Linked DNA regions of Bombyx mori. The protein of the gene in region 3 purifies or fractionates together with the protein of the main gene of each other region. This does not show direct contact. Links are inferred from orthologs where the notes say so. Each region holds a gene or a part of one and is shown on either strand. Other genes may lie near its edges. The genes, in order: signal recognition particle receptor beta subunit, ring finger protein 5 and membralin.

Region 1 (10,436 bases), on a different chromosome or scaffold from region 3:
TACCACCTGGAAAACAGGGGGAGCGTTGGATCTTGCTAATAGAAGATACTGCTACGAGGTGGACAGAACTTTTCCCATTGAAGGAAGCTACTGCTGAGGCGTGTGCACATGTCCTCATAGAGGAGTATTTTATGAGGTTCGGTCTTCCACGCCGACTAGTTTCTGATAATGGCGTACAATTTATTTCGGCAGTCATGCGTCAATGCATGTCCATCCTGGAGATAAAGCAAAACCTTATCCCTCTCTATCACCCAGAAGCAAACCCCGCCGAACGCAAAAACAGAGATCTTAAGACTTTATTAGCACAACTCGTGGAATATGACCACACTTCCTGGCCAAACATGTTACCAGTGATTCGGTTCGCTCTTAATAACGCTAAATGTCGCACCACAGGTATGTCACCTGCTTACTTGTCATTTGGCAGAGAGATGAGGTCCCCCACAGAAGTCACCCATGACCTTCGTGCTGTTCTAGACAAAGATAACTTTGTTCCCCAAATAACTCCCTATCTCAGGAAATTTGTTAACTCCTTTTCAGCGGTGCGCGAACGTGTAGAGACGCTTCAAGATAAAGCTAAAGGGTATGCTGATCGTTCGAGACGGCCCATTGAAACATTCAACGAAGGTGACATGGTTCTCATCAAATCACACGTCCTCAGTAAGAGCGCTAAGAGCCTTACTTCTAAGTTTGTTCCAAAACGCGATGGTCCGTATCGCATCGTTAAAAAGGTCAGCCCTACTACTTACCACGTCGCGCATGTTGACAAACCTGATGAAGTTTTAGGGAAATATCATGTGAACGATCTCACTCTATACCGTGAGAATCAGAGTGATGCTCTTCCGCGGCCGGAGATGCCTAAAAAGAAACGTGGTCGTCCCCCAAAGAATGTTAAAACAGATTCTCGAGTTCCAGGGCATATGACGACACGGCATGCTGAACCATGTGCTGAAGCTCCACGTCTTTCTCCCGCAGCTGGTGGTATGGTTGGTCTTGCGCCTGTCCCTCAGCCCAGTAGTAATGAGATGCTAGTCCAGGAGCGAGGGCGTCCTCCAGGACTAGAGGGGGAGTATGTAGCAAACCGACCGGTACGTCACTCTCGCGGCCGTATGCCCGCTCGCTATACATAGTTAGCATCTATGTCAATCTTTTCAACAGTGTATAATCTATGTTCCGGGCGCTTCCGTTTTGAGTGTGAATAGCGTGCGCCCGCGTCTAAATGTAATTATTGTTTAAAATTGAAATTGTTTGTGATAAAGGAAGATTAAAATTCGAAATTCGATATTGGTGACTAACCCATAGTTTTAAATACCCCTGAGATCTACCCCTCACTATACATGGCTTTTTTTATGAGGTATACAATAACAATATTCCCTGACTTTTATGCTAGGAAAACCTGTGTTACAAAAGTCAGTGGTTCAGTGCTAGGTCACCAGGTAAAGAAAGTTAACCAGGAAGAACGATCTGTAAGAATATAGTACGTACGTGTGTGTGTGTGTGTGAGTGTATGTGTGTTAGTGTGTTTGTGTGTGTATGTGTGTCATACAATAAAGTATAAAAATATTATTATATATTATATTATATATTATTATATAAAATATTAATTTAAAATTAGCTACAATGAATCAACAGTATATCATACTATATATACATCATTATACATTTTTACAACACGACTTGTTCTGTTTCAAAATAGTCTAAGTTTAAGAGCCAAGACTTCAGATTATTTTTAACGTCATACCTATTTAAGCCATCTATCTGCTGAGATATATTTACTTTATTATAAATTCTGCTACCTGACGAATAAATCTGTCGTCTGGCAAATTCCGTCCTACAAGCAATAGTGTCAAAGGCCGGTTTTCGTCTCGTGGAAAGTGAAGTTTCTTTAGGTATTGATGGGAGGCAGGAGTGCTGTCGCAGAACGGACCTGTGGACAAACAGTTGTCTAACCGTCAGCACTCCTGCGTCACGATACAGTTGTCTAGTAGAGTACCCAAAAGGCTTCCCAAGCATCACCTTAAGCACTGCCCTTTGCGCTCGTTCGATATTAATAAACTTTGTCTTGCAGGCACATCCCCAAATAGGGATGCAATAAGTTATAAGCGACTCTCAAAGGGAAGTGTATACGGTAAACAATATTTGCTTATCTGCCGAGCCTCTTAGCTTTTTAAAAATAAAAATTAAGCTTCGAATGCGCGTCGTCACAAGTTCCAGTTGATCATACCAATTGAAACAGCTGTCCACCAACACCCCCAAGTATCTGATATTATCAGTCCTAGCAATCTCCGAGCAATTACATGCGGAATATCGTCCATTACATACATGGGCCTTGAGAGTAATAGAATCACGCGGGGGTTGGACAGATTTTCTGCTTGCAAATGTTAAAAATTTGGTTTTGTCAATGTTTAGAGTTAATAGGTTGCGGTTCAGCCTAACAGGGTAATAACTGTGATTTATTAACTGTTTAATATCTGTGAAAGTGCACAAATGTGGGAAAATGAAAGCCGCTGGACGTAACTTTCCGGTATCCTCCAAAAAGTCCACTGAAAAAGTCTCAGTACCTACATAAATGACCACCATTTTACTGAGATTATATTTCATCTTTGGAGGTTATACGTAAGGAGAACCATCTCAGTATATTAAAAAGTGTCCATAAGCCGTTACACTAGCTGTTACACTTAAGCGCCATAACCTGTTACACTTCTGGTATATCCCCCGACCGCTCTGGGGGAAGGTGTAACGCGGCGCCATCAAAGCGGGCTCTCGGCCCGCTGAACGAGGGAACCGGTGGTCGTGTCGCTGGCGGCCGCCGGTCCGGCGTCCGTGGGACGGTGGGATGGATGTAATGTGCTCTGCGTCAACCCTGTCCCGCCGTTTCAATAGCCCCGACTGGGCTCCGGCCCGGTCCGAGGTAGGGCGCCGGTTGTGAGTGGCAGGAGTTTTTAGTGAGGTTCAACTCCCACATACCCCACCTGCCACGCGGGTGGGGATCCGGCGATTTTCTCCTGTGAAAAAAAAAAAAAAAAGACTGGTATATTTATTCCGATTTGCACTGCGAGCATTGTAAAGTGTGACGTCAAATTAGTATACAGCCAAGCCGTTCCTGTACAGTTACAGCTTCGATCAACAATAGTAACTGTTGATCGAAGAGTTACAGCATACTGTCATCGACGTTGTCATAGCGGTGTTTTCACTTCAGCAAAAAAATCTTGTTTAAATTTATTTATATTTGAAAATAGAATATTCAAGTTATTGTCAGTTTAATTAATCGCTTAAAGTAAGTATATTTTTAGTAAAAGAAAATATTGATTTTCCAGCAATTTCATCTATAATAACTTAATAACCGTATTATAGAAATGAGGTTATGCACAGTAAAAGTGCTGAAGTGAAGATTTATGAAATCATGTATCATTTCTCCGTTCCATTCACCATCATGTATCATCAATCATTCCTTAAGTTACTACGACTATATACTGTCAGTCCTTAACGTAGGTAACGAATAGCAGTGAGAGCACTGAAGAGTGCTCGCAGTGTAAATCGAAACATAGCCTTCACTGCAATCCAGCACACTACACTCAGTTTAAAACTTCTATATTCATACTATTTCCCCTTGCGACACTAGCGCTAATTCGGTGATTTTCGAACTATAATTTGCTGTTTACAGATGCGACACTTTTTCAACTTGTCCCCTATACAAGATGGCGCCTCCTTACCTCTACCCTCCATAATTTCATCCCATCTCATTTCACATGATTTCATTTCATTTTAATTAATTTCAGTTCATTTCATTTCATGCCATGTTTCATATTATCAACTTCATTTCATAAAATCATTTTTCATATAAAGAAATATATAAAAGATTAGGCTATATGGTATGATACCTTTGCCTTTCCAATTGGAAAATAAAACTACTACTAATCTATGGTATACAGTTTAAGTGTATAATCTATGGTAGTATACACGAAATCACGAAACACTAGACCATAGACTATACTTAACTTTAGACCCTAGAGCAGTACATTCACTTTGTTTAATTTTTTAAAGTACATATTAATTTAGTGACTTAGTGAGTGTGAAGCGAAAGAACTCTACAATGGAATCTGAAGTGGTTAAAGAAAAGATTCATACAGAACCGATCCTGAACGATCCACGATACATAACCTTACTTAGCCTTATTGTTCTAGCAGTAACCCTCAGTAAGTTGATATTTTGAATTTATTAACTACACAGATCGTTTCTGCTTGTGTATTTTTAAACTCAAGTTATTGTGCCATAGGTAATTTGGTGCTAAGGGGTTTGTTAAATGTTTAAAGCCATAAAGTGATTTTGGAGGGTAATCTATTTATCTACAAACATTCTAAGGCACTGCCAAGTAATTAGTGACTTTACAGGAAGGTCTTGTTAATTTGCAGCATGGCTAACTCAGTTCAGAATGTCAACATTGGGCAGCTCTAGAATCTAGTTTGCTGGTAAACAGATGTGATGATTTTTCCAATATGCTAACTTCACATTTTTTCTGATATGTGGCTCGAGTAACCTCACAGATAATAGTGATAAGTAGGGTTACTAAGTTGTCTACGTAGTTTATGGGTGCATTATTAAAACTTTTTATTCGATTGCTTAGAAAACAACAGAAAAACAGGCTTGTTTGCTTAATATTTATTTCATATTGAATTTTCACTTGACAAATTTTGAAAGTAGAATTGTTGTAATCAGCTTAAAAATGATGCTTTACAGTCATAAAGCTATTGGGGTCAAATGTTCAACACCATGTTTACAACAGAACTTGTTGGCTAAATATAAATGCTGTAGTTTATAAATAATCATATTTTTAATAAAAAAATTTATTTCAGTATTTTGGTGGATTTTCTCTCGAAGGTATACTCTTCGCAACTCAGTATTGTTAATGGGCCTATCAGACTCTGGCAAGACTTTGCTGTTTGTAAGACTCGCTTACTCTCAATACAGACAGACTTTTACTTCTATGAAAGAAAATATTGAAGAGTATATAACTTCTAATGTTAGTATTTGTATAAGTATTTTAAAGTTTTAGGTTACTAAACTATAAATGAACGACGAGATAACCATGAATATATAAACTAACGCATGATGTCATGTGTTGCAATTTTGACTGTGGTTTAATTGGAAAATCGTTAGAAATATATATTGGAAATTATTTTATTTAGTGATTTAGCATATTAATCATTATAATTTAACAAAAATAGTAATTGATTAATTATTTTGACTCATTATTGAAGATCCATCACTTCGATAAAGCGGCACGACACGAGAACCCTCTCATCGTGGCCGCTGGTAACTACATTCCCGATCCTGTGGACAGAATGGAAAGCAGTCGACGTCGCCCAAAACACGTCATCTCGGATCCTCCCGATCCACTAATGGTGCTTTTAGGTACTTCAAGCACCGGTCACCGTTCTCGTCGAACCCGTCGCTCTCGACGAAGGGCTCGACGAGTAAATTAACTCTCAGACACAGCCCACTGAGTTTCTCGCCGGATCTTCTCAGTGGGTCGTGTTTCCGATCCGGTGGTAGATTCTGCGAAGCACGGCTCTTGCTAGGGTTCGTGTTAGCAACGTCATCAGGTTTGAGCCCCGTGAGCTCACCTACTAGCCACGGTTACGCTGAAATAGCCTCTAAGGCTATCAGCTAAGGTAGGAAAAAAAAAAAAGATCCATAATAACTAAGTTTGTTTTGTTTTGGTTGCCTATTGAAAGTGGTCTGGTCTTATGATTGGCAATGGGTTTCCCATTGTTGGTGTCCATGATTTCAAGGAGTAAAAGAAATATTTTATTAACTTACCTAACTGGATTTTTATTATTACAGAAAACATTGAAAATAGTTGATCTGCCTGGACAAGAGAGACTGAGAAATAAATTCTTTGAACAGCACAAGAGTAGTGCTAAGGGAATTGTGTTTGTGATTGATTCTATCAATATACAGAAAGAAATCAGAGATGTAGCAGAGTAAGTAAAGGCAGTAGACACTCAATGAAAGTCACTACATATGGAGATTCGCCTGGGCGAATGCATCTTTTTATAATTACTTTTATTCGTTGTTTGTTCTGAATTAAATTCTAATCACGAGTATAGCAGCATATTATCACTATAATCCTCACCCCCACCTCCGTCTTGGGGGAGGCTTATGTACAGCAGTGAATGTCAGAGGGCTAATTTTTTTTATTGTTTGTTCCAAACCACATTAATAAAGCAACATTAATCATCACTGAACTACTACTTACTGGAAATCAACATCTAATAGTTTCGTTCTTACCTCTGAAGAAGTTAAGGTATTGTTTTGAGAAACCGGTCTTATGTGACCACAGTTTCTTGATTGTATCTCAATTAATAAAAATAAATGAATAAATGTTTTTAGTAGGATTTATTAAGTTTTGTGGCCAGTATTTAATAATTTCAACAACAGAAATTAAATTGTCTGCATTGCTCCAAATTTGCCTGTGAGTGAGATTAATCATGTCTATGTGTTTACAACCAATTCAAAGATACTCATATAAATACTAAAAATATACACATTATTTACAGATACCTATACACAATCTTGTGTGATCCGATCATTCAGGGAAACACAACTCCCCTTCTAATATTGTGCAACAAACAGGACCAGCCATTAGCAAAAGGAAGCCAAGTTATCAAAGGATTACTCGAAAAAGAAATGTAAGTTATCCGCGCTTTCTATTTTTACAAGTAATTAAGTAATTAGCGGTAGGCAGCGGCTTGGCTCTGCCCCTGGCATTGCTGAAGTCCATGGGCGACGGTAACCACTCACCTTCAGGTGGGCCGTGTGCTCGTCCGCCTATAAGGACAATAAAAGATTAACAAAAAAATGCGAAGTTTTAAGATTTACAAGGGCAATAAAAAAAAAGTGGGTATCTCTTCTGTCATCCTTGGCCTTTACTAATGTAATTAACACTAGATATCATTAGTCACGGGCGTTATTCATGAGCTTTAACATGTCTTTAAAGAAACCGATTCTGCAGGCAATTTAATTTTCCTTTAATTTGTTATTAATTGAGATACGATATTCGCAGAAATTTAGTTCGTGTGACCAAATCGAATCAACTGCAGTCCGTCGATCCGTCTGAAGGCAACATCGGGTCGTTCCTAGGTAAAGAGGGTAAAGATTTCGAATTCTCTCACATTAGAAATAAAGTCGAATTCGCAGAGTGCTCGGCCAACACGAATGACGATGAAAATCCGACTGACATCAAGCCTCTGCAGGATTGGATCTCGAAGCTGTAGACTGAAATTATCATATATTTTTTTTGCACTACCTACTATACTCAGCATTTTTAGCCACAGTAGGTACACTAATGTGTCGTTTTGTTATTTTAAAAATGTTTAATTAGACATATTCAGAAAATAATTTTGCTTTTTATGTTTATTTGAGATATCGTCGCTGTCAAACCAAAATCTGCTATGTGCAAAAACTCTATTTTGGATTAAGGAGTAAAAACATTTTCGTATAAAATTTTATATGAAGGTGTATTTTTAAGCACTATATCAAATGAAAGCTATAAATAAATATTAAAGCTATAGATAGACGCATAACAGTTTTTTTTATACGGTAGATAGGGCTGTGAACTATACGAAAAGGTCAAAAAGTAAAAATCTCAAACAAAAATTTGCGCATAGCAGATTTTGGTTTGACAACGACGCAATGTTAATTAAGTTGTTTTTTTTTTTGCTTTTTTTATGCTTTCTTCATCAATATTCCATTGTAAATGAGCGTTACCATTATGTATCAACGCTAGACTGATGATGTATGTATAGGCAGATACTTATTGAATATTGTATTTAACTGTATTTTGATATGCAAATTAAATAAACTACCTATTATATTTTTTAAATGTGTTTGTTTATTGACCTAAAAGTAACTCAGGACATGCTGCCCTGCTACATCCTCTGCTAAATATGTATTTTTTTCTAAAACAATAGTTTTCTATGTATTCCTGTTGGAATTCAAAATTCGCCATTCCCATACGATCAATCGTAATACTAAGTAAAATGTTAACGTAATATACACATTTGAACATACGTAATAAAAAGTTTACATAAATTAATTTATGTATGAAATCCTTTGCCAAGACAACCACCATCGTAGTTTTAAACTAAAATTTCAAATTCCATGAAGTTTTTTATTTATAAACTAGCGACCCGCCCTCGCTTCGCTTCGGAAACATTAAAACACACATGAAACCAAAAAAATTAAATTAAAAAAAAATTTAAAAAAGTAGCCTATGTTCATCAGGGACAATGTCGGCTTCTAATGGAAAAAGATTTTTTCAAATCGGTCCAGTAGTTTCGGAGCCTATTCGAAACCAACAAACAAACAAATCTTTCCTCTTTATAATATTAGTATAGATATCATATTAAGTTCCATTTTCAAATTCAGTAATTATTTATTGATTACTGTTTTGTTTTCACTACATCTTTTTCATCAATATAATGAATGATACGATAAAAAACTGAGTAATTATGGAATACGAGTTCGTCGCTTTGACAATCCCGCACAAAAGGCTTAATGACGTGTACGGAGTGAATACTGCAAACGAACTCACAACTTATTGGCTTGAAAACTTCTGACATAAAAAGAAATCTAAAAGAACCCCGTTATCACCCGAAAAGTAAAGGCAACAACGACAAATTAAAGGCGACCGTGGAAGTTGACGATACTCAACATATCAACTATAACTATACTTGTATCAATTGTAACTATACTTGAGACCTTAGAACTGATATCTCAAGGTGGGTGGCGCATTTACGTCGTAGATGTCTATGGGCTCCAGTAACAACTTAACACCAGATGGGCTGTGAGATCGTCCACCTACATAAGCAATAAAAAAAAAAACTATGAAAACTATATTGATTCATTTGCGTCAAATTGGCTATGTAAAAAAGTTGATAAATGGGTGCCGCACGAACTGAAAGATCGCCAGCGCGACGGACGCGCGTTAAGGAATGCCTTGCGTTGCTCAACAGACACAGCAACGAAGGAATTTTGAAACACATTGTGACTTGCGATGACGAAAAAAGTTTTTGATAATCTTATGCTATCATGTTGGTTAGACCCTGATGCAGCACCTAGGCAATACCCCAAAAGAAAACTTACAATAAAAGGTCATTGTATCTTTTTGGTTGTATAGACCGGTCATCGTTCCCGTCGAACCCGTCGCTTGCGACGAAGGGCTCGACGAGTAAATTAACCCTCAGACACAGACCACTGAGTTTCTCGCCGGATCTTCTCAATGGCTCGCGTTTCCGATCCGGTGGTAGATTCTGCGAAGCACGGCTCTCGCTAGGGTTCGTGTTAGCAACGTCATCAGGTTTGAGCCCCGTGAGCTCACCTTCTAGTTAAGGCTACGCTGATATAGCCTCTCAAGGCTCTCAGCTTAGGTAGGAAAAAAAAGGTGGTCTAGTGCTGATATAACTATTCGTAGTTTCTTACCAAATGGCACCAGCATCACTGCGAATATTTTGACTGTGAGGAACTGGACACAATGATGGAGAGGTACGTCAATCGCTTGTCCTGCTCCTACACAACAACGCTCGACTTCATACGCACAATAAACGGTCTCTAAGCTGCAAGAGCTCGGATTGGAAGTTTTGCGTCATCACAGTATTCACTAAACCTTGCGCCGACAGATACTTATGTACTATTTCCAAAGTTTGGACAATATCTTGGCAGAGAAAAACCTCAATATCCGAGAGGCAGTACTATATTATATGCCTTTGAAGAATTTGTTGGTTTCGGTATACTTGAAGTTCATCAAGAAGGGCATTGAAAAATTACCACTGCGCTGCCATAGATGCATAGATACCACAAGAACATATTTTGATAGAAAAAAAAATAAAAAAAAAAGATTAACTTTCTGTAAACTAAACGGCAATTTTGTACATAGGTTCGACCTTTTATTAAAAAAATGGAAGCTATTCTTTAATTGAAATACGATTTAAAAATGCATATTTTCACAGATTACCAAAATAGCTATGACGTATTTATAATAAAACAATGTTTTCAAGACATAGCATAAAATATAATAATGATAGATGGTAAAAATGACAATGTGTTCGAAGTATATTTCAAATAATGGAATATGTAAAAGAAGGTTACAACATTCCTCCCCATCTACATCTCGTTGATCAGACGGCGGGGTGCCTGTTTAGGTCGATTACTTCGACGCGGAGCAAATGGCACAGGAGTGGAGACCGGAGCAGGTGAGGAGTATAACTTCGAATGCTGTGAAGGTGAATTTGGAGAAATTTGTACATTTGTAGGCGACTGCGGTGAAGGTAATGGTACTGCTGCCGAATTCTTATTGTTAGTTAGCCTTTCGCTAATTGATGTTTCCATTCCAATGTCTGGAGAAGCAGTCGTCGGCAGCATAGAAGAATGCGCCCTTT
Region 2 (10,397 bases), on a different chromosome or scaffold from region 3:
CCGTCGATTAAACAAATCAGCTGTACAGTTTCAACTTCATTAGATTACTGTGGAGGTTACCAGAGAAGATACAGGAGAAAAATTGTTTAAAAAAAATGTCTACTCCGGATTTTAACTACACAAGAGAACAGCTGCTCTAAATGTTTGTGGATTGTAACTAACTCCGTCTACTAGACTACTGCAGCTAACATAGCTCGACATTCTGCTACTATAGATTGTAAACGAAAATTGTATTGATACTATAATTATATTGATATTAATATACTATTATTGTACCAGCAAAATCAGGTCATGCTGTGTTTATTGCATTACTAGGCTGCACTAAAAGTATCGGAAATGGAATATTTCCACTGTTCCTGTCATATTAAAATCTTTTTAATTGAAAACTCCTTGGTTTTAAAAATCGAATACCATTTATTTATTTAAAAAAAGATTCTCGGTCTTGTCACGAGGTTTTGTCAAACTTGTTTAGTCGTTGAGAAAATGGAATTGACTCGAGAAAATTCAAGAGCGATGATTTATTATGACTTTCGAAGTGGTTTAACACAAAAACAGTGTGTTGACCGGATGATTTCGGCATTTGGTGATGATGCCTATTTCTGCCGTGAAGCAGTAATGCGTTTCGGTTTGAAGGGTGGGGCAGCCGTTGTAACTATAATTGAGACCTTAGAACTTATATCTCAAGGTGGGTGGCGCATTTACGTTGTAGATGTCTATGGGCTCCAGTAACCACTTAACACCAGGTGGGCTGTGAGCTCGTCCACTCATCTAAGCAATAATAAAAAAAAAAAAAAAAAGCCCCATCCAAAACCACAATTTATCGCTGGTTTGCTGACTTTCAACGTGGACGTGTTAAGCTCAGTGATGATCCCCATCAAGGTCGTCCTAAAACTGCAGTCACCCAAGAAAACGTTGATGCTGTGCGTAAGCTGATTGAGGAAGATCGACATGTGACATACCGCCGACAACCGTAGTTAGAACAAAAAAAAAACTTAATCTGCTTTGTTTCAAACAAGTTCACTCAATATAATTAATTAAAACTACCAACACTGTTAAATTTATCGTTATTAACTATGATTCAAGTACTTATCAGATTGTAGAAGTCAAAGTATCTATGCAATTCTGCAGTAAAAGGACACTATTAGTGTCATAGCTATATAAGCTACATGGCATCAAATTATCTAGTCGACAAAATAATACCTTAACCAAGTAGTTTATCTTTTTTTTTTGATTCGAACACGGTTGCATCGCTTGATACGATTTCACCGGGTGTCTAATCCTTTAGGCCACAACAACTTCATTTCTCTTGAGATAATGATTGACACACTCATACATAAAGTTGCAACAAAGTCCTTACTGCTTCTTTGATGCAAATATAACCCTGTTGTCGAAAAAATGCTTACAAGTGAACTTCAAAGTATTGCTACAGCTTTTTCCTGATTCTGACAGATTTACCTTGAGGGTAGAAGTGTTTGTATTTTGATGCTATGCAAAAATTAAGCCATTCTTTGACAGCTGTATATGACCGGATCTGCAGATCACTCTGATTTTATATCATTAAATGAAATAAATAATAATAGTATGGTGCACTATCTGCGGAATACGGGGGGAAGAGTAATATGTCTTATTTGAACATTTCAAGTAGGCTTCAATGGGGTTGGCAACATGAGGCTAAGTGATGGCTTCCAGGAGAATCATTTTACTATAGCTCTGGTGGATTGTTACCATTTTTCATGCAGTGCTCAGTTTAATCACATTAACTTCGATTCTATTCCCCAGTGATGTTTTCATTTGGTTCCAAAAGCTCATAATAAACAATTGTTCCCACCAAATACACAGCGTAGCCTTATTGTGAATATTCGGTAAAGCTAACGATATAGAAACATCAGTAGTTCCCAAGTTTTCTTTAGGTTGCTTCAATTTTTCACATTGAATCCATTTTTCATCATCTTTCACGATACCATGAACAAAATCCTTCTTTTTAAATGTTTGGAGCACATGTTTGTTCACGGACGAAAAAACAACACCCTAGAGTTCTTGTCTTCAACTCAGGAACCAAAGATCAGTGCTTTTGTATCATTCGCAACACGTGCAATTGCTTGGAAACGACTTGGCCTGTTACTCTTAATGCTGAAGTAAGCTGAACTTTGATTGACACAGATCTCCATCAAGCAATTCCTCTAATTCAGAGTCCTTGAAGATTTTTGGCTTTCCCTAATGCAGATGGTCATGAATCGTTACAACTTCACAACACAATTATTTCAGTCAGAGCAATTTTCTTCAAATGAAAAAGGAAAAACAGCACTTCTCACAAATGACGATTAATTGTAACTAAATCAGACATTTTCACACGATTAAACGTATATCATGCAACAAGAAGATCATTATAACGCGGTTTGTGTACCATATGTAAACGTATAAAAATCAACCACCATTTATTGCAACAGTTCATATAAACAAACAACCAAATATTAAAAAGACTTACCACAAAAGAACTTTGGTTCGCAAAAGTCAAATTCATCTAAAGTTGGAGAGTTCTCAATGAAATGTGAAAGTTTCTTGTTGGAATAGTCTACGACAAAAGAATTTACTTCTATGCCGTGATTTATGCCGGAGGTTCCAATTATCAGACCAACCAAGGTGTTCAAGTAACCTGTCCCAGAGCCGACGTTCAGGAAAGTTAAGCCTGTTTTCAGTTCTAGGGCTTCCATTACTTCACTGAAGATATAAAAGATTACTAATTATCACAATACAGAGAGATAGTTCATTTATTGCATTCCAAATTACTTATAATAGTATATGTAATAGTATAATCATAAGCCATTTCTGGCAGATATTTAACAAACATAATGTAATATTATAAATTATTTATACAACAATCCATGTAAGTATGTAGCTCAAATTTGAAAAATAAACGAACATTAAAGCTAATCAAACTAAGAAAAAAAACAAATACAAAATTTGTTTTTTTCTATTCTGGTTATTTGAGTTAAGATATTTCGACAAAGTACTCAAATTATTATATTATCTTTGATCAAGTGTGTCATATTGGTCAAAGTGACGACTTAGTGAAAATTATGTTGAAATATTGTTATAAACATATATAAATAGATACAGGTCAAGCATGATAAACATTCTGATAAGTTTAAGTTACATACAATATGGCTGTTAACAATTTGTATTGTAATGAATTTTTATTTTATTTCGTGTATTTTTTTGTTTTGCTGTATCTTTGTTATTATTACTAGACTTGCATCAGCACTTAATAATCCAAAGTAATTATTAATTTCTGATTACAAAGGAAAATAAATACAATGTTTTTCCACCACCTTCAACATACCTGTAAATACACGGTGCTGACATATGCAGAGATCCATTCCTCCAGGCAAGGTCCTTATACGCCTGATCCCGTACTTCTGAAGACATGTAATCGGCACGATCGAGTGCCCGGAATACGTTCTCCACTTCCGCGGAACGGATGTATTTGCCTCTCATCAGGTTGTCAATCAACTCATTATTATCACGCCCTGAACTCACTGCACCTCCCATTTTTAATGATTCTTTTCTACCACCACCTTTAAGAAGAACTTCCCTCGCACCTCAGCTGATTCTTGACGTGACGTCACTTGTTTTTCAACATATTTTGCACTTCATTTCAAAAAAACTTACTTTTAGAGTCAAAACTATCTATTAGACGTTTTAAATAAAGAATTACGATATTGTTTTAAAACTGGATTTCTCTCTATCGGCGAATGGGTGCTAAGAGTAGCGATCGTTCAACCATTTTCCTTTTGGTTCTCGTTGATTTCATTGATTAATAGCAAAGAGTAAAGATTAATGGTTGTTTACGGTATGTAGTGATTATTATTGTCTTTGGTTGGTACCAGGATTGGAATAATACAAGACTTGGCTGCGGCCTTATTAAAAAATTTATTTCAGGAAGAAATTTTAAAGGACTTGGCTTCGGCCGTAATGATTTTTTTATTTCAGGACATAATATAAATCATATAAGGGCTCGGCTTTTTTTAAAAATGACAAGGTTGTATAGGCCTAAGGAAAAATTGTACCAAAAAAAAATGTCTTTGGTTGGTCAAAATTAATTCTTGAGTAGTTTTTGACGGGAGCGCGAATAGAATTGTGTTTGTGTTAACGTTTCTTCATGTTTAAATGTATAATAAAGAAGATTTATTAACTGTTTATCCTCTGTTAACGTGCACAAATGTAGGAAAATGAAACAAAGTTGCTGGACGTAGCTTCTTGGGTTCTTTTAAAAAGTAGACTGAAAAAGTTTCCGTAAATAACCACCATTCTATTGAGATTTCATCCCTTCTCAACCCGTTTCATTTAATTTCATTTCGTAGATATGAATAACAATTTATGCATAGGTGTTTTGAAATATTTTATGATATACTTAAATGAAACTAATTTTCATGAAAACATAATTTTTTCAGTAATTTTATATTTGATTAAACTAATATACCTAATAAGTGGTTTTTTATCTTGTTTTCAAAATGTACTCGTACTGTTTTAGTAATTATGACAACATAAATAAAAAGTGCGTGTAAACACCAGCGTGTGGCCTACCCTAGATAATTAGATAACTCTATTATACAACCAACTCATCTGATCTTAAGGGTTAATTTAGTATTACCTAGTGTTAGAAATATACTTCTATTTTTAAAGAGGCATAATTTTAATAATTTTCCATTCATTGGTAAAGGTACGAAATAAATAATTACAAATCTTTCCTTATTTAAAAAATAATTGAAATAAAATAAATCCTAATCGCTTTTTTGTAATTACTTCCCATATCAGATATCGTATACTGTAGAAAAGATAAAGATATGTACTGCGAGTTCCAATATTTTCCATAAACATCGACTGTCATGGGACCCTTGTCCTTACAGCTGACAATTGACAATCAAGATTTTTTGACGCTGAATGACATCTACTGACAGATCAGCAATCAGCATACCACGGGATTGGAAATGTGATTTATTTATTTATTAACAAGTTTCTATATGAAATAATAAACTCAAACATCAAATTTAAAGTGGCAAGTGTTGTATTGTTATTGACCTTTCTCTGCAAACAATAACTTGTTATAAATTTATAATTTGAATATATTTTGTCGTGTCACAATAACATCCAAGCGAACGTCACTACACCAGTATCGTGATAACGCTTCATAAATTGAAAATTTCAGTTCCAAAAAAGAATGTCAAGTTGTGATTATTAAATATTTCGTAATGTAGGGAAATGGCGGAGACTAGTCAAGCGCGAGCGAGCCCCTCGGCGCCTGGGGGCGACGCTGGTGGCGAAGAAGACAAACATGACGAAAGAATGCTAGAATGCAACATCTGTCTGGACACAGCCCGTGATGCAGTCGTCAGTATGTGCGGCCACCTCTTCTGGTGAGCTCATTGTCGTAATTAATACAGTAAATAATTAGATTTAAATCTAATGGCTGAAAGATTTTTTATGAATATTCACAACTATTGAAAAGGTAAAATATCATTTGAATAATTTGCATTAAACTATGCTCATTATTATTCATTCTCATTACTTACCATTGACCTTGTAATGCAGTAAAATCAATACACTGAATGGAATGAACTATGAATGGGAACAGCTGTGCTTTGTGCTACAACATAATTGTATCTATCTATTTATTGATTTATTAAAAATGTTAAAAGACAATTTATTTTAATCAAAATTAATTCTATATTAAAACAGATCTTTAAAATCAGGATTTACATTAAATAGATTAGTAGAGCCATGGTCTCTCAAGAAGGTGGTGGCATACAATATGTACATTTGAAAATTGAATGCTTTTTCTCTTTAGCATCAGCCCTCTGATGTTTTCTCAGATTTGATTGATTTGATAGTCAGGGTCTCTCAAGACTATAGTTTTGTTTTGTCAAGGAGAGCCAAAGAAGGCTATAAAATAAATTTTCCTATATTGTAAAAAGTAAATACAGCTTTTTATCTACTGGTAAAGCGTCCTCAAGCTGGTAGGGCCAATTATTGGACCATAGTGATGCACACTCTTTAGACAGGGGCTCAGATCAGTTTAGCTGGCTTAGTTTACCTACTATAACAGAAAAGTTACTGAATTTCTAGATAAGAACTTGTTCAACATAAACTGTTATATTACTGTTAATCAGTACATAAAAAAAAATTTATGCTTATGAAAATACTGTATTGTAAAATAAATTTCATATACACTATCATATAAAAGTTTAAAATAATATTATATATTTGGAGCTACTTAAAAACACAACACTGTTTAGAAACAAACATAGTTAAGTCTAATAAAAAATAGTAAAATTAAAAACTAAACCAAATAAGAATTTAACATACAATATCAATATTTACCTATTTAAACTTTAGCCTCATTGAAATGTCCCTCGTGTTTTTTTAATTATCTTCACACATATCTCTAGGCAAAATAAATTTCCTGAAATATTCTTTATTCAGCTTTTTCCACTTACTTTCCAATAATTTCAAAACATTGAGTTTGTTGGTGAACAATTTTTTACCCTCCCAGTCGTTCATGCCAAATGAATTCAATGGGAGAAATGAAGTCAGCTGATTGGCAACAGAGAAAACTTGAACTTGTTAAATTGTTAGAGAACCTTTGCATATTTTATGAGATTATATAATATGATTTATAATGCAAGGTCTGAGTTTAACCATATCTTGTGTTCACTTGCTACTCATTGCGCACTAGTGTTTTTCAAAGAGACTATGATGGTATATTGTTTACAATGCAGCTGGCCATGTTTACATCAATGGTTGGAAACCAGACCCAGTCGGCAAGTCTGTCCTGTTTGCAAGGCTGCCATCAGCAGAGAGAAAGTGATCCCGCTCTATGGAAGAGGAAACACAAAGCAGGAAGACCCAAGAAACAAGGTAAGTAATACAAAAAAAATAATGTAAAATTATAGAAACCACTTTTGTTGTTTCTATACTTCTGAAGCATAATATTGTCAACAACAACACAGTTGAAACTTTTTTAACTTCAGATGAAACTTTTTTAAACTTCAGATGTATGTATGTTAGTGAGTAACGGAATCTCTGAACATGATTTTGACCTTAAAAACGTCGGCTTAACGACTAGTTCAAGTAGTTATAAATATTTTATGAACAGATATGAGTAGAAGGGTTATTTTGATAATATCCTGAAAAGCACCCCATGCTTTTTTACAATAAAATCATTTTTTCTTACACTATTTTTAATTCAAATTTATTAAAATTTATTTTCTATTTTTAGTTGGATTTTCTATAAAAGCGTATTTTGTTAGCTTTTGAAACTAGTGAAGAAATACTTTTTTTTTGTAAATTAACTTAAAGCTTATCACTCCTATTTTATTTGAATCAATTATGCCAATGTTCTAATCAACCCGATAAAAAAATCCTAGCATTAATTATTTATATATTGAAGACTATACTTAACATTGTATGATAAAAATGAAATCCGCACATTTTTATGATTTGCATCATTACTGGTGGTTGGGCGTAATAAGAGCCCACACAAGTTGGTATTACCGTCGTATCCCTTATGCTACAAAGCAGTGTTGCAGGGCGATTAAAATGCTGGAAGCAATATAATTGAGACCTTAACTTCATGCCCAGATATGTGACTATTGAGTATAGTATTGATACATTCACCTCACTTTAGTGTGGTCCGTGGCACTTACTTGGTGATATAGACTGACAGGCATCTAAAACCAAGTGGACCCTGTGGTCCACTGATCAGTGATTGCTGCTCATATAAAGTTTGGTTTTGCCCAACTCAGAGGTATTGTTATCAGAGCAGGAATAAAGCCTGGACGTGTATTGTGCGCAGGTGCCCCCCCGGCCGGCAGGACAGCGCACGGAGCCGGAGAGTACGAGCGGCTTCCCAGGTTTCGGCTTCGGCGAGGGATTCCACATGTCGTTCGGGATAGGAGCCTTCCCGTTTGGAATTTTCACCTCGACATTTAATTTTGGTGATCCAAGGCCTAGCGCCGGTTTGTATATTTGTTATAAGTATTTCCCTACCTTTAAATATGAGCTCTTTTGATCTGCCCTGAGAACACACGAAGTTCATTGAAATTTTACATCAACATTTGACAATGGAAGGTGTAGTTGGGGGTCCAAGAGAGTCGACTCCATATATATTGGTTCTCTTAGGTACATCCAACACTAATGACGCATTATTGGGTTTTTAATAGATTCTATATTATTTTTTAGTTTTATGATAGACTAGCGACCCGCTCTCGCTTCGTTTCGAAAATATTAAATTTTATTATTGATATATGGTTATTGTCGTACCGCGAGTGACGCCACGGGACGAAGCTAGTCTAAACAAGGAGCCTAAATTACTCCTTATATCATCAGCTACCTATCAGTCAAAATCGGTCCAGCCGTTTTTGACGGACAGATTAGCCGGAACGGACAATAATTGTAAAAAATGTTATTTTGGTGTATGTACCCGTATGTATTCATATGTATGTAGTAGAAAGTGGTTATTTCAATATTACAATCACACACACTCCAATTTTATTTATATGTATAGATTAATTTATGCCAGACCCGTCCGCCTCTGGCTGTGCAGTTAGAGTCGGTAGGGGTGAGTACCGAGTGTTGAGGTGGGGTGGGGGGGAAGGATGGCCCGGCGGGTCCTCCACCCCTAGGCCGGATGTAGAGTGTCAGTTTGGTCCGCAGCGCCGCGCGGTACGGCCCAGTTCGAAGAAGAGCAGTTCCTATCGAAGATATTCCTGTGGGTCGCTATCCTGTTCGTGCTGTGGCTGGTGTTCGCCTGACCGCCCACAAGTACTGCCACCAGGTTACAATACTAATTAACTCTGTAAACATTTATTTAATAGAAGGATACTTGAAAAGTTCTTTTCAAAATTGATTCTTGTGACTACGGTAGTGTTTTGTTGACAGTGACAGATCAAGTCGTGGTTATTTAATTAAAGACACCGAACCTTTTATCTGTATATTTATGTGATGAGAACGATATCTGGGAATTTGTTACATTTTTTTTTTGTCAAATTAAAAAAGAGCAATAGCGTGTCACCATCAGCAACCGCCAATTTGAATGTGGCTATCAACAGTAAACTTTTTTATTTTTTGCCATTACACTAAAGGCAGCGGCTTGGTTCTGCCCCTGGCATTGCTGAAGTCCATGGGCGACGGTAACCACTCACCATCAGGTGGGCCGTATGCTCGTCTGCCTACAAGGGCAATAAAAAAAAAAAAAAAAAAAAAACCAAATGAAGGGAAAAAGATCAAAAACCCTTGATGTGGTACATACCTACACATTTTAGTTCGAAATATTTTTTATGCGATGATATTTCTGTGCGAGTATTAAATGCGGCGCGGATCTGGACTAGAACTGAAAAGCGAAAACATTTATGTAAATATTCCGTATGTTCTTGGATATTCGCGAGCCGTGCGAAATGAAAACATTTACAATTTACCTACGGTTTAGTCTCACGTATCTCATCATTTGATTTCATTAATTGCGCCGTTTTGAATACAGAATATTTCCCACAGTTTTTAACATTGCGTTAAATAAAAATACGTAGAACAAAAATTATTACGAGTATTATAAACGTCAGAAATAACAAAACATAATGTTAACACTAAAGCTAGTCACTGTAGCAACCAAACGAATAAATGAAGTTTTAAATATTTAAATAACACAATCAACTGATTATTGAGAAAAAAATCAAATATATTTCGGTGTTTTTAGTTAGATAACAACCGCTACGTAAAAACTCTGACTGGCTTAAAGAAATCATTTAATTTCTGAGGTTTGACGAGTGAACGAAAATATTTACGGCTCAATATCGCGTTCAGTTCAAACACGAAACAATTCGAGAGCTCGACCTCACGCCTCGAGCAGCAATCGAGTGGCGTCCGTGAGCGCCGATGAGCACTAAACGCCGAGTGGCTTGTGAGGTGGACGCATAGAAATGAAATAAGAAAAAACACCACCAGAACGCCTGTTAGAATGACATCACAAATGTTGTAATGTCGATAAATATCCACTAACCAGGACTATGACATACCGTAAAGCTCACCTGTGCTCAATATGAGTATTGTTTTGGAAACGTGCAGGTTCACGGCACAGTGCTCTCAACTCCGTACACATTTTTCAAACACAAATTTAAAAAATAAAACATCATTGGACTGTCGCCATTCTGTATGCTTAGTGCGAGTTTTTTAACGTTCTCGATGCGTAAAAGTTAACTCAAATTTGTATGAAGTTGAAAAAGTCCCTTCGTTTCCCGCTCGGGGAAAAAAACTCGCAATAAGTATGTACACTGTTCTAATCTAATATTATTCCTGGTATTTTTTCCTATTGAACCAACATTCCTTTTTTTATGATAACCTTTAAA
Region 3 (9,757 bases):
CAGACGTAATCCGGATCCTGCAACGTGGCGATTACCGGCACTAACGAGATCGTAAAGACGGATCTTCGATGCAAGGCGAGGATTACGCAAAATGTAACTCGCTGAATGCCGAATGGACTTAGGGCTGTTGTGAGCTGCTTTGTTGAACACGACTGATGTACATGTGCAGAGATTAACACAACTGATTTGCTTCAAAATGTAGAGTAAATGTAGACAGTCGAAACGTTTACCTTTGTACGGCTATCATAATATAAAAACTCAACAAATATTACAAAAACACCTTGAGTAAACCTAAAATGCCGCACTGGATCCATTATTCTCAATTTGCACCAAGTCGTAGGAAGGGTACAGTTGCGCCGCCAAGCTCTGCGGGTGTCCCCCTTGATTAAACTGAGGAAGTAAGAACTAACAATTTGTGTGCATTTCTTCCACTGATTACAAGTTTGACTAGCACGGAACGGATGCATCAGAAATCGCATTTATTACTGTCATATATACCATGTAATATGTATTATATAATTTGACAATAAATCCAAATAATCAAAGCAGCCCTTAAACTTTTAATGTCGCCTAAAACGTCACTGTTTGAAAAACGACAAATCTAGTTTCATAACTCACATAAATATTCATATTATATCGTATTGTTAGTAAAAATCTGTAACCAAGTATTTATACAGTATCTGTACTAATATTATAAAGCTGAAGAGTTTGTTTGTTTGAACGCGCTGATCTCAGGTACTACTGGTCCGATTTGAAAAAAATCTTTCAGTGTTAGATAGCCCATTTACTGAGGAAGGCTGTGTAAGATCACGCTAAGACCAATACAAACGGAGCACCAATAAAGAATGTTTCAAAATCGGTTTTTTTTTCTTTCTACGTAAATGAAGTCGCAGGTAAAATTTAGCGTTATGCCAAAGTAACTATTCCACGCGGATGAAGTCGCGGGCAAAAAATAGTTTATAATAAAGATTTCATTGACATTCATTGGTTAAAAAAAACTTTAAAAAGTTATTAGTTTAGTAGAGTATTAGTAGTTATTAGTAGAGTGCGTAGACAATCAATGTTTGTTTGTATAAAATCATGTTGGTAACATCAAGGATAGCAGACAGACATTATTTTTCAATTATTATTTTCCTTTTTATTAACGTCCTTTGGCCTAGAACGCTCATAGCATCACTCGACTCTACCTGTGGGTGTCGTAAACGGCTACTTTTTTTTTTTTCTTCCTACCTTAGCTGATAGCCTTGAGAGGCTATTTCAGCTTCGTCCTAACGTTTGTAGGTGAGCTCACGGGGCTCAACCGGAGAGTTGCTAACACTGACCCTAGCAAGAGCAGTGCTTCGCAGAATCTACCACCGGATCGGAAACGCGACCCACTGAGAAGATCCGGCGAGAAACTCAGTGGGCTGTGTCTATGGGTTAGTTCGCTCGTCGAGCCCTTCGTCGCAAGCGACGGGTTCGACGAGGACGGTGACCGGTGGCTACTAAGGGATTGACTGAAGCACGGGCAGTAGTATTCTCAGCATTATACCAGCGTTTAGCTCGAAACAGACTAAGCTTGCAGTAATTGTTGTATTTTTTAGTTTGGCCATATTGAGATCTCGAAAATAATTATTATCTTTAAAACCACTGCCGCTCATTCTAACTAACCAGCTTAAATTGGTCTAATCTAGTGTATGTAAAAATACAGTCAAAATTCTTAAATTAATAATTTCGTGAAACAACTCACACCTATAATTGCTTGGACGTACTTTAAAATAAACTTATTTTATGTGTATAAAATATTAAATTATTAAAATCTATTTACCAAGTTTTTCGTGAAAAAGTAACAAACATTATTTGCCACATTTACTTTATTTATTCACATTTATCCATCGAAATTATTTATCCTTCCATTCTACAAACTTTTGCATCTATAATATTAGCATATTTTGATTAAGAAGATTTACCTACGATACATCAATTACTTTATTAGTATTCGCTTGTAACAACAGAGAAGCGACTCATGTTATTACGAAATCATAATACAAATTTTTATTGCTTTTTGAAACCACTTCCATATCAACCGTTCGTCTTTACAATTTATATTGCAGAATATTGACTTAAATTGTGAATAATATTAAAAAAAAATTTATTCATAATTTGTTGATTCCCGTAGAAAGTTTTTTTTTGATTGTACACTGCTGATACATCCGCGGATCACCTGTAGTTTGTATTTCCGGTTCGCGAATTGGTATTGACACTTTCTAACTTATCACAGAGCGCTACTTTATGTATGTGAATGTAGTTAAATTTATATCTACTTTTTGTAATAATAGTTTTGTCAAGTAAAGAAAAAAACTAATCCGTATATTTATCGTAGAACTAGCTGACCCATCAGACTTCGTAGTGGCTCAATCGATAAATAAAAGACCTAAACTTTTGTATAAAATAAACTTAAAACAAACAAAAAGAATCCGTCCGACGGGGGACACATCAAAGGGAAAACAAAAAGCATTTTCATATTTATCTACCTTTTAAACCTTCTCTGGACTTCCACAAATATGTAATTCAAGACCAAAATTAACCAAATCGGTTCAGCCGTTCTCGAGTTTTAGCGAAACTAACGAACAGCAATTCATTTTTATATATATAAGATATACATTTATTCCGTACAATAAATTGAATTCTGCAGCAAACGATAAGTGAGAAGAGCAAAAACAATATTTCATTATGCCGTCTTATGTACGTAAATACTGCACTGTTTCAATAATTTCTCACTGATTCCGTTTCCGATGGAGGCAGCGCGTGCCTGTCGCCCATCTTCGGTGATCTTCGCGTAGTGCCGGAATTAAAATTAATAGAGGACCGTCGGCGTCACGTCCACGGTCCGACCCGGCCCGGGTAATTTGTTTACTCGTCTTGCTCGGGATTACGTCGCATGCTCCGTTGAATAGGTAACTGCCGGTGACTTTTTGCAAGTGCCAGCGAAGACTCCACTGTGCTCCTAAACCTAGTGCTTATTAATTTAGAATCATCGAAAAAAAAGGTCACAATAAAATTGAAACAATATTCGTTAAGACTTTTTTTGCTAATAATCATAAGCATATTGGATATTAATAGCGATTATGAAACTTTATTAGTACCACAAAATTAATATCAATCTTACGTTTCCAAGTCGTCGTGGCCTAAAAGATAAGACGTCCGATGCATTCGTATCTAGCGATGCAAAGGTGTTCAAGTCCTGAAGGCGGGTATCAATTTTTCTAATGACATACGTGCTTAACAAATGTTCACGATTCACTTCCACGGTGTAGGAATAACATCGTGTAATAAAAATGAAACCCGCAAAATTATAATTTGCGTAATTACTGGTGGTAGGACCTCTTGTGAGGCCGCACGGTTAGGTACCACCGCCCTGCCTATTTCTGCCGTGAAGCAGTAATGCGTTTCGGTTTGAAGGGTGAGGCAGCCGTTGTAACTATACTCAGACCTTAGAACTTATATCTCAAGGTGGGTGCCGCATTTACGTTGTAGTTGTTTATGCTCTAGTAACTACTTAACACCAGGTGGGCTGTGAGTTCGTCCACCCATCTAAGCAATAAAAAAAAGAAGTCTTATAAGTTCAATTATACGTTAAGTCGAGACGAAGTATAGACGTCACCATGTTATAACTCGGAGCAAGAGTTAATTGAGCGACACGGTTATGAATAGATTCGGTTAAACGTTGCCGGGTCGAGTGGCGGGCGGTTGCCGGACTTCCGATAGTCCCCTAACGTGTTTATTGTATCAGTGTCGGGCCTCATCAAAATGCAAATAAGGCACGCCCTGCCCGCGACGCCGGACAGTTGTCCGCCTTCTATTGAGTTATATTCCTACGTCTGATGGCCTATTGTTTCGTATTATTCGTGTCTACCATATCGAAATGTTTGCCAATATTACCCGAAATTTAATCCTCAACTTAGAAATTTCTACATCCAAGCACGTACTTGAGCTTTCAAATGTCTCGAGACGAAATTCCCAATCTCCTTACGTTTTCAAGTTGAAGACACTTGGTCCTGATAAAGCTGCTTAAATGAATTGCCTCGTCGTAGTGCTGCGAGACCGATGCATGTGTGCGGTTAATAAGCTCGTGGCGGGTGCGCTCAGGTTTCGGTCGTTAACGTGTAATTGTTGGCACCTAATTAGTTCGACACCCGACGACTCGTCTCTGGTGTCGCTGTCACATATGACCCGCGATACTTAATGTGACAACGAATTTCGTGTTAACCTCGACCGTGGGCTAGCCGTGCGGCGTGTGCTGTGCGGTGTACTTGATTAGTATGTGGTTATAACGACGGAGGGAAAATCTTCCACCGAGCGGGTGATATTGCTGGGTAGACCGACGGTCCGAATCTCGTTCTGCGAAACTTGTATATATGCACGCTTATGTGAAAAATTTCGTAAGCGTGATTCAGGCGTCTGTTAATTGTCTTGTATTGTATGATGGCTACCCGGCACAAGTATTTAAACCGTAACTAAAGGCTCAAAATAGTTTACTCGATCAGTAAGCTCTTTTGAGCCTCGAAAGACTTTATGAGTGCATGTTGCAGCGAGCTTGCAGTAAGCTCAGTCGGGGTGGTCTCGCATCTTACCCATTTCTGTCGCAAAAACGTTACGCGTCCTATTTGAAAAGGGTCCGATAGCAGTTTTTCTAATATTATTTCGATTTGAACCTCTTATTGCGAAATGGGCATCGCGAAGCGTCTTTCGATTCCCATGAGTTCCGTATATAGACCGTAAGCTAGTCTGCCTATCTACTCCATTAAAATGCAAGTTTCTAAAAATTGTTAACACCTAAAAATGTTTTGTATCTGCAGATTTGATTTTACCTTTTTAAGATTTTATTAAAAAAAAATGGAACGATCAAAACACTAAAGCAGCATTATTTTATGATATTTTTGCAAACGGAGAATACAGCCGGATTATGTATCCATCTTGAGATGGAAGTGTATAATAATTCTATCGTTTCAATGAATCTCGGGCTCAGACATCGTTAAGAGCCCTCGTATTTGTAAAATAGTCGAAGAAGTACTTCTGATTTGAAAATATTTCAATAATTTATTTTTAGATCATAAGTAGTAGTATTATGCGCTTATGAAGGAATCGTAGCTGGAGAAAGCAAACTGAATATATATTTTTTTCTTTCTACAGGAATGGAAGCCATAATGTCAGAGTTTTTCAACGATACCACAACAGCATTTTACATCATCTTGATCGTTTGGATAGCTGATCAGTACGACGCGATCTGCTGTCACACCGCCATAGCGAAACGGCATTGGTTAAGGTAAGTCATTTAAGGTCTCATTCAAGTCTCTCAGGCGAATAGCAAAAGATTCAACTGATAAATTCGATTTTTTTCCTACCTATTCGCTAGTAGCCTAAGGTGCTATTCCAGCTAGGCCCGGATAGGTAGGTGAGCTCACGGGCTCAACCCTTTTTTTTTTTCGGGCCGAATGTCGAACCTCCTACAAGGTCCCCGCGTGAGGTCCCATAATTGAGTGACTATAATTATCATTCCGTTCATATAATATATTTTTATTACACGACAGTTTATGTTTTTAATTTTCTTACGTCATATTTATCGAGTTGGGAAAAGACCAATTCATTACTAGTTTTGCTCGTGGTCCGATCTCACGTTACATTCTTAATCAAAAGGCGACTGAGTACGAAGCAATTTGGCTGGTCGTCCGCGAGGGCAATAAGGAGGAACGCTATTAAAACAAGCGCAAATAAAGCAAATTGAAAACGGCACCGCTGCCCCCTCGCAACGAGAGGGCTAGTTCCACCCCTCCTGTCCTCTTGGCGTCCTGTAAAAACAACGCCCCTAACGTCTCGAAATACCTCTTGATACGAACGAATTCTAGATTTAAATCCGGTGTAAAATTCTAGCATTTTTTTTTGAAAACTACACAACCACTTTTCCAATGACTTGTAAATAAATAATATTAATTTTAAATAACGTAGGTGAGCAGACGAGTTCACGACCTGATGTTCGTGTCCATAAGAATGAAACTGTCAATGCTGCGGCCCACCTTGAAACGTAAAGTCGATGACCTTATTGCATTACAATAACGGCTATTTTGTCTTTCAAAGCGAAATACACGCTTGTTTAACGGCATGAATAAAAAGGATAATATGTAATCAAACCGGCATTCAATTTTTAAATTAATTCAAAGTATATAAAATATGTTAGTTTACTGAATATTTTTCGAATAGATAATTTTGAGTTGAATCTACTCTTTTGTGTCCACGAACACTTTGAACTAACTCTCTTTGAATACTTTGAATACCAAACGTGATTTTAAATTTTCTTTTAAAATAATATGTCGAACCAACGTCGACGTCGCCGCTTTCTTTGTCAATTTAATTTCATCTGCGTTATCTTTTATAACTCTAGCGTACTCTACGATCCTTTGTACGGCGTTCGCTTGAGTAATCGTGTAATAAGAATATAAAAAAATATGCAATTTTCCGCTTACTTGAAGACGCTGGTTTACTGCAAAAAGGAGATCACGTATTTCATAATGTTGTTCAAATCGTAACGTTGTGATGTATTAATAACAGTAGAGCTCGCTGGAAACTTTAAAAGAAATATCTGGCCACTGTAATAATTTTATACTAGTAATTCTTGACGGGTCGTGATCGAGCTTAAAAGCGTAGCTTCCCGACTAAGCGACTGATAAGAAATCTTGTTTATTTGCCATACTAATGAATGATAATCATCGAGAGATTAATAATTGTGTCAACTTCTGATAAATCTTATGATGCGTTAATTTTTTTGTTGGTTCGATCGGATTCTATCGGATGCCGGACATTAAAAGCAATATACTTACGTATTTAGTTGTGAAATAATTCTTCTATATGACATACATTACAAATTAACTAATTTATAAATTCAAACAGCTGATACCGCTGGTGACATGTTGTGTACCAGAACGTGTCACTGTCACCAGCTTTCTTATGTTTGCCTTGAAACAACTATGCATTGTGTATTAAATAGTAGGATATCAATAAATTAAAATATAAATACAGATACATACATACAAATAATATACTTTGTACCCCTTTTTACGAAAATAGCACGGACGGAGGAGTATGAAATTTGCCACATTTATAGAAAATATAGAGAAGGAGTGCAGATTGCTAATTTTTATTAAAATTATACATAAAAAATGCATTAAATCAATAAAAAAAATAATTACACACACTACCGTGTATTTGACACACACATGCATGCATACTATTTGTTTATGTTCAAACTTTTCTTATTGCTTATAGTCTGTGGTTAAATTGAGAATAGATTAAATATTGTTTGTCTTTATTAATATTTGTCTAAAGTGTAGTCTTGGCAGATTCGGTGATTAAAGAAGTATAATAATAGTCTTTGAAAATAGAATCATAATTGTGTACAAACTTATAATTTCACTTAATTATAGTCGAATTTCGGCTACCGGGGGACCACTAGTAATACTAATTCCATGATTTCCAAAGTCGTTTTAGTTGATCACGAAATTATGTTACCGCAAATAATTAGGTTTTACACAAAATCGACCCACGAAAGCTATATCGTAACACTTCGCTAATGTGTTAATAAGTTTTGGGCGATGTTTGGTAAGGGTTGACCGTCGGAGTGATGCGGTGGGTCGGCGGCGATGCGGTCGCGGCGTAGTGACGAGCTCCCCGCATAAATCTCGGCGACCGCCAATTAAGGTTCGACCCGACAGTTTGTCTACGATGCCGCCCTGATTGCTATTACCCCGCTACATGTGTATACACTGTTCGACAGATTGTAACTTCGGTGGCTGGATTAGTACTATATATTTGGACGAGTCACAAATATAAATACGTAGACAAAAGTAATTACGTGACTTGAATACTTTTGAACTTATTGAAAATTAATTTTGTAGCCAGCGATACGTTTTTGATACGATGGAATTCAATTTAAAGCTACTTTTTTTATTGCTTAGATGGGTGGACGAGCTGACAGCCCACCTGGTGTTAAGTGGTTACTGGAGCCCATAGACAGCCACAACGTAAATGCGCCACCCACCTTGAGATATAAGTTCTAAGGTCTCAAGTATAGTTACAACGGCTGCCCCACTCTTCAAACCGAAACGCATTACTGCTTCACGGCAGAAATAGGCAGGGTGGTGGTACTCACCCGCGCGGACTCACAAGAAGTCCTACCACCAGTAAGTACGCAAATTATAATTTTGCGGGTTTCATTTTTATTACACGATGTTATTCCTTTACCGTGGAAGTCAATCGTGAACATTTGTTGAGTACGTATTTCATTAGAAAAATTGGTACCCGCCTGCGAGATTCGAACGCCGGTGCATCGCTCAACACGAATGCACCGGACGTCTTATCCCTTAGGCCACGACGACTTCGAATTCAAATTCGAATTTAAAGCTACTTAATATTAATAATGATATGGTTCCTATTTTTATTTATTATTTATAAGCCGTGCGAGAGTTGACGCGGTCGTGTCGTTAGGGGCGCGCGTCTCGTGTGTCATTTTAAGGATGTGCCAAATTGAAGGCTCCGGCGGCGGGCGTCATCGCGAGGGGAGCCTGATTTATGCTCTGGGTCCCGGCGCGCCCTCGTCTTCGATTAGAGGTTTGTTCACTCGGCCGAGGTCAGTTTTCTTATGAGTACGTCGACGCGATATTATCGGTTGCTTTTATTACGGGTCTCGCAGAAATAGCGCGTTAATATTATGTCATGTGTGTATGTTCCCTTAAAAACTTGTTCCTCTATAGTACTGTTACTTTTATAATGATATTGATTTTTGACGTGACAACGTCTCATAATTCGATGGAGCCGGCTGCACGCACGAAAAAACATGACTCATGCGGCGTTACCTCGTTCTGAGGCGTATTTTCTTATGACGTTGTCACGTTCAACTATCGTCAGTAAACCGACTTTGCAGACATCCGACTTTTTTTATTGACTATACAGACAAGCAACAAACTTCATAGTAAACAGTAATAATAACACAAAAGAAAGTATCGGACTCTTTGCATTAGTCATAAGTCTGAATGTATTATTATTTCATTTGTCTTCGGTGAGCAGTTCAATTCAATAAATTTAATTAATATTACGTTTCGTTTCTATGAATTGAATTCAAATTCAAATTCAAAATCATTTATTTCAACTTAGATGTCAGTATGACACACTTGTTGAATGTCAAAATACAAATAACAATGTTAACTCTACCATTGCTATTGAGTATTCATTGTCAAATAGATACGTTGGTATTATTGTATTAGCCCTGCCATTATGCGCACAAACGGTTTCAGGTATTGATTATAATTTAAGAGTTCTGTACCTTACAATTCGCGATCGACTACCACTACGAAGAAAGAGGTTGTAAATTGACGTTTATTCATATGTACGTAATTAGTAATATGGTATAAGTAGCGTGTAATACCGCATGTGTCAGTACCTTTACAGGTCCGGCCCACCTATTCCTATCACGAAGCAATAATGAGGTTTGACGATATGATGACAACAGCCTACTGAGTTTCTCATTGGATCTTTTCACTGCTCTTGCTAGGGTTGGTATTAGCAAATTTCGTCACGTTGAGCCCGTGAGCTCAACTATCCGTCCACGTGAGCTGGAATAATCCCTTAGACTACCAGCGAATAGGTAGGAAAAAAAACAGGAAAAAAACCACGACAGCTGTTATTTCATCCGTCATCTGCTTCATTTCAACTGTGTTAAACGTGCCAC

Evidence for each region.
Region 1: the proteins of membralin (region 3) and signal recognition particle receptor beta subunit purify together in Homo sapiens (affinity purification with mass spectrometry; 3 studies listed by BioGRID and IntAct, counting the BioPlex papers as one, with this or other methods). This does not show direct contact. The link is inferred for Bombyx mori from reciprocal best matches to the Homo sapiens genes TMEM259 and SRPRB.
Region 2: the proteins of membralin (region 3) and ring finger protein 5 purify together in Homo sapiens (affinity purification with mass spectrometry; 3 studies listed by BioGRID and IntAct, counting the BioPlex papers as one, with this or other methods). This does not show direct contact. The link is inferred for Bombyx mori from reciprocal best matches to the Homo sapiens genes TMEM259 and RNF185.

What each region holds. Positions count from the first base shown.
Region 1 is NC_085114.1:6,492,280-6,502,715, forward strand, and holds signal recognition particle receptor beta subunit, read left to right. Parts: upstream 1-3,704; 5' UTR 3,705-4,090; coding exon 4,091-4,193; intron 4,194-4,850; coding exon 4,851-5,017; intron 5,018-5,841; coding exon 5,842-5,981; intron 5,982-6,557; coding exon 6,558-6,689; intron 6,690-7,063; coding exon 7,064-7,274; coding exon of another isoform or gene 7,275-7,286; 3' UTR 7,287-7,288; coding exon of another isoform or gene 7,289-7,358; 3' UTR 7,359-7,360; coding exon of another isoform or gene 7,361-7,361; 3' UTR 7,362-7,882; downstream 7,883-10,436. UniProt on the Homo sapiens protein: Component of the signal recognition particle (SRP) complex receptor (SR). Ensures, in conjunction with the SRP complex, the correct targeting of the nascent secretory proteins to the endoplasmic reticulum membrane system.
Region 2 is NC_085116.1:17,091,962-17,102,358, reverse strand, and holds ring finger protein 5, read left to right. Parts: upstream 1-4,978; 5' UTR 4,979-5,056; intron 5,057-5,255; 5' UTR 5,256-5,259; coding exon 5,260-5,414; intron 5,415-6,776; coding exon 6,777-6,915; intron 6,916-7,852; coding exon 7,853-8,015; intron 8,016-8,712; coding exon 8,713-8,810; 3' UTR 8,811-9,240; downstream 9,241-10,397. Other genes in the region: protein IWS1 homolog, read right to left, coding at 2,486-2,718, 3,341-3,549. UniProt on the Homo sapiens protein: E3 ubiquitin-protein ligase that regulates selective mitochondrial autophagy by mediating 'Lys-63'-linked polyubiquitination of BNIP1.
Region 3 is NC_085125.1:6,088,422-6,098,178, reverse strand, and holds part of membralin, read left to right. Parts: intron 1-5,172; coding exon 5,173-5,305; intron 5,306-9,757. UniProt on the Homo sapiens protein: May have a role in the ERAD pathway required for clearance of misfolded proteins in the endoplasmic reticulum (ER). Promotes survival of motor neurons, probably by protecting against ER stress.